2 linked regions of the Daphnia pulex genome follow. The protein of the gene in region 2 interacts with the protein of the main gene of each other region in a pairwise test. Links are inferred from orthologs where the notes say so. Each region holds a gene or a part of one and is shown on either strand. Other genes may lie near its edges.

Region 1 (3,250 bases), on a different chromosome or scaffold from region 2:
GTATGTAAATTTTTTAATTATTTTGCTGCTGGTGTCCGTTTATCGTCGACTCGATGAGCGTCAAATCGCTGGCTGACTTCTTGACGCAGCCCTTATCCTTTCCGTTCTGATGGAATCCGGCCGAACGTTTCGGCCCATGTTTTGGCAGTAAAGAGGCATCGAGAAAGTGTCGCGGGGTCTCTCGCCCACTGAGCTGACGCTGCGGGACAAGTTCCAGTTGGCCGTGTTGCTGGAGAGGAAAATGTGTGTAGTACATATGATAGTATATGTTAGTATGCATATAAGAGCATTAGTACCTACTATACGGTGGAGTTCCTTCATGCTGGCCTGCCTGAAGTGAATGATGTTTCCTTGGCCTGATCCCTGCTACACCAGGTGACTATATTTGGGACTTACCAACTCCTATTTCTCCTTGATCCCCTCACCTGGATTGAATTGAAATTTGTTTGCAGTGGGAAGATGCAATGTAAAAGAAAAAGTTCACGTTACTCTTACAACTACTCAGTACCCTAAATGTTTTGCACCGTTGGATTCTTTTTTCAATAAATTTTAAACAAGTTACTAATCAATTGATGGTGTATTAAGATTTTTATGACGGGGAAACATTGCAGCCAGAAGCTCATTCTCTGTTTGATCTGAGGACTTTCACAAACAGCCAATAACAATAAGAAATCATCCCTGTTTTTCTTTTTCGTTCAGTGTGTAATACGAGTACAGTTGTTGCTTTCCCATGATTAGTAATGGCCTAAAGTGGGACCATAGGATTACATCCTTTTGTAATAGAAAAGGAATTAAAGAAAAAGGAAAAAAAAAACTAGAAAAGTGAAGGGAGAAGGAAAGACAAAATAGAAAACAGTCAAGGTTGATTTTCCTTTTGCCGGCGCCTGCTTGTTCCGACTGCATCCTTCACGTTGTTGCCGGTATTCCGTCTTCATGTTTATTCTTCTGCTTTGGGAGTCTCCGCAGCTTTGACTGGTTCGGCAGCTGTAGCAGCAGGGGTTTCAGCTACCTTGACTTCGGCTGTCGACTTGGTCTCAACAGTGGGCGCCTCCTTCTTGCTTGGCTCGTCAAAGTTGTCAACTAGATCGGGAACCTCATCATCTTCTTCGGTTGTCGGTAGCGTAGCCGATGATGCTCCACCCTGTCCACCGGCAGAGGCACCTACTATCCTTTCTTTCAAGTGTGCCAAACTTTCAGTTGGCAATTGGTTGAGGATAGCTGGCAACATATCAGTGATGGCTGCAAACAAACAATGACAGATGAAATTAATAAACTTGGGAATGGCATTAACTTTTGTGAGATCTTACGTTTGTGTTCAGCATGACCGGTGATGGCAAAAGTGTTTGCCGCTAGAGAAGCCTGTACTTTAGGGTTGTTGAAGTGGATGATTGTACCATCATCCTTGAACATGTTGACTTCCTCAATCCCAGGGATGTTGTTGACTGTCAGTTTTTTCAAGGAACTTTGAAGCTTCTTGTCATCAGTGGTAGCAGTACGGTGGACAACTTTCTTCTTCCTGCGAGCAGTACCAGGGCCCCCGATCCTCACTTGAGATTGCAATTTTGCCAACTTCTCTGCATTCATTCTGCAAAACAAGAAGAACATTGTTAAATCAGTTAACATTAAGGTTAAACATGAAAAAGATGAACAAATTATCACTGTATACTCTAAAAATAATTATGAGGGCTATTTTTAACCGACTAAGACCATGCGGCCAAGGTTTGCTGTTTTTAACGAATTGTCAAATGTCACTTCATAAGAAGAACAGCAGTTCAACATGACTGTAGTCGGACTTACTTCACTTTTTCACAAGTTACAGATATATAACAAGTAAATTTAAGGACGAGAACTGCGGGAAACTGTTAAAACGAACCTGTAATATGTTTGAGGCACGTGAAGCACACGAGATCGCGGCGAGGAGGAAGATGGCGGTGGCGCCGTAGAAGAATATTGTGTTTAGGGCTGGTGTATAGGGATAGTCAATTGAAACACTATTACAATTCGCTCATCGTTTCAATAAATATTTAAAACTAAATACGGTAAATCATTGTTTAGAATTTACAAATATTTTATGGATAAATTAATTATAATTATAAAGATAATTTGGCAGTAATTTTTTTTTTTAATTTTGTTTTGATGCGTGACGTAGTGCGCGACTTTCGAAATGTCGTCGCCAGGTTCGCCTCCAAATTGCATTATATATAACTCTGCATAACCATTTTTGCTTATGAATTAAAATAATAATTAATATTTTAAAATCACTACCATGTTTTTATTTTTATTGATCGCTTTTTAAAAAATAAAAAATAAATAATATTTTACTGAACGCCATAGCGTAATCTTCTCTACTTAGCGATAGCGAAGCCGTACCCAGTTCTTTAATATTGCAGGCTATTACAGGGCATTCTAAAATTGAACACGTGACCCTGAAGGGCTTGTCTTATGAGGTTAAGAAGCTCAAAATGTAAAGAACAGCTCCGCTTTGGAGAGCTACTGAAAAGAGAAAATCACTTATTGATTTCTGCTCATCAAGCAGGCACGGAAATGAATAGACAATGATGTGATGCTGTTGTACTGCAAAAAAAGAGTATATTGACTAACAGTGAGTTGATACATCCATCTCTCTGCCCTGCAAGATAGATAAGATAATTGCAACATGTTTACTTATTAGACAACTGTTACCAATGGTGTACGGTATGCACGACACAGCGAAAACAAACGAAAAGAAACACACCAAAAACTGAAACAAAAAACCCAAAAAGTGAAAAGCTGACTTTGTCGAAAGAGATCTTGGCTCAAGTTATTTTTTTTTTTTCTTTTTCAAATGATGAATATTTCTTCTCCTACCAGAAAAGAACAAAAGGGACACACACAATATAAACGCTAGATGCACATCAGATCCCACAGAGACTCTTATTTTTCCTCGCTCGATAAGCACAAACAAATGCGGTAGCCAAAGGCGAGCTATGACTGAGAAAAAAAAAAACCCAAACCCCCTCTCCCCCCCCCCTCAAAAAAAAGAGACAAAAGAAATATGATATGATTGAGGTTGTGCAGTGTTACACGAGTGCTCGATTGAAAAAAAGATTTCAAAGTAATTTAAATATAATGGGCATTTTTTTTTTGTTGTTGAAAAAAGGACTGGTAGAGTTTTTAAAGATGTCGTTTTAATTTTCTTTCTTCATTTCTAGAAAACAAAAAAAATTCAAAGGTGAACGGGAGGTGGATCAGTATCGGGACGAGGTTGGCA
Region 2 (3,554 bases):
GTGTTTTGGGCAGTTCAACACTTCGTAAGGTGACAGTCCCAGTCATCACCAATAACGAATGCAAGTTGACTTATGGCAAACTCGTCTCAGATAAAATCATTTGCACTAGCGGAAACAATTATCGTGGAACATGCAACGTATGAAACGTCCATTGCCCCATAATGTGTTCTGTTTTCTAGTCTTTATGAATCATAAACTTATTCATGTTCAACAGGGTGACAGTGGCGGCCCAATGAACTACAAAGGGTCGGACGGCTCGTGGAAGCAAATTGGTATCGTTTCGTTCGGCTCGACTGAAGGTTGCCAAAAGAATCATCCAAACGGTTGCACCAGGATCAGCTCGTATTCGTCATGGATTCAAAGTATCATTTCACCTTCATCATCTTCCACAACATCCACGAAAATCCCCACAACCGCCTATAGCTCGACAACAAATAAGGTGACTACAACACAGCCGTCTTCCGGTGGTCATCAAACTTCCGCCTTCTTATCGTCGTCACTCATTTCAATTCTTCTCTTGATTATCTGTATTGGACCCATTTATGGAGTCTGAAATTGAGATAGCGGGCATGACTACACATTTATGCCATAGTTGATCAAATAATCTATGGCTAGGCAAGTATACATTACATTTCACGAATTATAAATTGTTTGCAATTTAACAGAGTGATGAAGTTTATGCAATCAAAAATAATTAAATTGTTGAAATATTAAGAGCTGTGCTCTAATAAATAAATAGAAAATGAGTTTTACCTAGAATTTATTGTCCTCGCCTTGTCATTCAAATGAGCTGCAAATAGTCTAGAGACTAGCCTTGGGAAATTAATAGAAATTATTTCTTCAAGTTCTAAGAAAAGGCGAAAGTATATGATAGGCCTGTTTGAATCTTCTAGCGGTTGGATGAAAAATTCCATTATATTGCGTAAGCTATCATATAATGCAATAAACTAAACTTCATCAGCCGGCTTGATTAGATACCAACAAACCGAGACGTAACTTGTGCCATAAATCCTGGGAGCAGATGAGAAGGCGTTTTGCGACACACCCCACACCCTAAAAAGAAAGAGGAAAAGAGAAAAAAAAGATATAGAGTCAAATCCCAATCCCAAAGAAACCTTTCAGGCTTTGAACGGACGGAAATTTTAACTTTGGCGCGCTAGATGTTATTTACATAGATGGCGTGGTAGCCATCTAGCGAATGAAGTCGGAACTATTTTTACTATTTTGAGTAATGGCCGTCAGCAGTCCCCAAAGTGGTCAGCTGTGTTGGTGTTGTTTTATGACAGTTTCAGTGCTTACAGTTACATGAGTATTACAATTAATATTTAATATTGGTAGCGTTTAATCGAAATGCCCATACACGATAATGATCGTCATGCAGTTGTCCTAGATATCGGACGAGCTTACACCAAGTATGTTTTGTAAACAATTTGTCTGATGAAGTTCCAACTGGTACATTATTCACTTACTGGTTGACAGGTGTGGTTTTGTTGGTGAAAACGAGCCGCGAGTCATCATTCCATCCAAATTAGATGGCTCCAAAAAAGGTGAAGGAGTTTACCTTCATGAATATTCCAGTGAAAAAGAACTTCATTTCAATCTGGTCAAATTTCTCCACCACATTTTCTTTAAGTATTACTTTTATAAAACTTGAATTCAACTGAAAAAAACTAAGGTTTGGTTTTACAGGTATTTATTAGTCAATCACCGTGAAAGAAGGATTGTGATTGTGGAATCTTTACTATGTCCTACAGAGTTTCGTGAAATTCTAGCCAATGTCCTTTTTGTTCATTTTGAGGTACTCTACCAAGCATTGTCCCAGATACGATTGTGAGAAACATTTTATTTTAGGTACCATCTGTCTTGTTTGTGCCTTCTCACCTTGTCACACTTTATACCCTGGGGATCAACACTGCATTTGTGATTGATATTGGACATGAGGAAACAACGATGATACCAGTTTGTGAAGGAACTCCTTTGATTCATGCTTGGCAAGCTCAACCTCTTGGAGCAAAAGCCATTCAAGGGTAATCATTCACTTGAACACAAATTTTTTTACTTGCAATGAATATTATTTAACATGTAGCTGTAAATATTTTCTGATTCAGCAATATGACATTACTAATTGTTGAAATATTTTCAGGCGGTTGGAATCTCTTCTATTGCTACGCGCCAAGGTCCAGGGAAGTGATGGTCAGAAGGTTGACTTGGTTGATGTCATTCCTAAACTATCACGTGGAATCTTAGAAGACATTGTGGTGCGCACTTGTTTCGTTACTACACTGCCAAGATCCCGCCAGCTTGTTGCTTCCCGGACAAATGAAGCAGGGCCATCGCCCCCTGTTCCCCCTCCTACCATTCTCTATCCTTTGTCCGGCAATAATAATTTGACTCTTGATGGATCTGTTCGTGAAGAGTCAGCCGAGGTCCTCTTTGAAACGGACAATGAGATGGTTTCACTCGCTTCGATGATTTTGGATAGTATACTCGCTGTACGTAAACATCGTTAAAAAAGTTTTCCTGATTATAGATTGATTTTACGTTGATTTTTGTAATTTAGTCGCCAATTGATTTTCGAATTCCACTAGCGGAGAATTTGGTAATAACTGGCGGGGGATCAATGATGCCTGGACTAAAATCTCGTTTAGTGTCGGAAGTAAAGGATCTCCAGCAACATCCAAAGTACTCAAGCCGGATTGCTCTTAAGGCCCTAAAAGTTCATCGGCCACCAGCTAAATCAAACTATGCCGCTTGGCTTGGAGGTTTATTTTACTCAAATTATACCACGTAAACTGAAATCAATTAAAATATATTTTTAATAGGGGCTATTTTGGGAGCAACGGAAGCGATCGCCACACGCAGCTACACTCGCGAAGTCTACTTGCAGACTAATCATGTTCCCGATTGGAATAATTTAGCGGATAACACCAAAGAAATTGATAGTAGAGCTGGTTAACTAAATAAACAGTGCTAATAAATCAGTTTTTTTCACAAAATAAAAGTTAAACTATCGTCAAGACGTCAACTGCTTATTTAAACTATTTCGAAAATAAAAAATTTAATCCTTGGAGTTATTAGCTAACTTGATAGAGGCATGCATAAACTAAACTAGAATTCCTGAGCCCTGAAAATTCTTTCTTTCTAAATTCCACAATGAATAAAAAATCCGTAACATTTGGTTAATGGTTTTCCTTTATTTTAAATTGACAAATCGATTTTTAATCTTCATCGATATCTCGATACTGTCATTCCGAACAGTCGTCTGCTAAAAAACGTGTTGCTGTAAATTCTTTCAGAAAATTTTAGTTTAAACTGTCATTTGAATTCAATTCAGTTGATAAAGGAAACTGCGAAAGTTTTCTATTGGGAAGGTTTCAGTTTATCACTTTGTTCTATTGCCTACTGCCGGTGATCTAAAATGGGTGAGGAAATTTCTGCAGTTCTAAATTTCATCAGTGAAAGGAGTGTGGAAGAGGCTATCGAAAAAGTTGTGGACGAGATCAAATTAAGTACCAATCTTGATCACAGTTGGAAGGTTCTTCATCATCTATTGA

The links. The genes of interacting proteins can lie anywhere in the genome.
Region 1: the proteins of actin-related protein 10-like (region 2) and transcription factor BTF3 homolog 4-like interact in a two-hybrid assay, tested with the Drosophila melanogaster proteins (2 studies listed by BioGRID). The link is inferred for Daphnia pulex from reciprocal best matches to the Drosophila melanogaster genes Arp10 and bic.

The regions. Positions count from the first base shown.
Region 1 is NC_060019.1:5,796,294-5,799,543, forward strand, and holds transcription factor BTF3 homolog 4-like, read right to left. Parts: upstream 2,033-3,250; 5' UTR 1,874-2,032; exon of another isoform or gene 1,798-1,873; intron 1,781-1,797; exon of another isoform or gene 1,667-1,780; intron 1,586-1,666; 5' UTR 1,585-1,585; coding exon 1,308-1,584; intron 1,240-1,307; coding exon 938-1,239; 3' UTR 559-937; downstream 1-558. Other genes in the region: tyrosine-protein kinase transmembrane receptor Ror2-like, read right to left, coding at 3,206-3,250.
Region 2 is NC_060027.1:4,051,249-4,054,802, reverse strand, and holds actin-related protein 10-like, read left to right. Parts: upstream 1-1,212; 5' UTR 1,213-1,350; coding exon 1,351-1,412; intron 1,413-1,479; coding exon 1,480-1,632; intron 1,633-1,689; coding exon 1,690-1,798; intron 1,799-1,851; coding exon 1,852-2,027; intron 2,028-2,143; coding exon 2,144-2,492; intron 2,493-2,560; coding exon 2,561-2,762; intron 2,763-2,822; coding exon 2,823-2,956; 3' UTR 2,957-3,017; downstream 3,018-3,554. Other genes in the region: brachyurin-like, read left to right, coding at 1-137, 215-553; probable methyltransferase TARBP1, read left to right, coding at 3,419-3,554.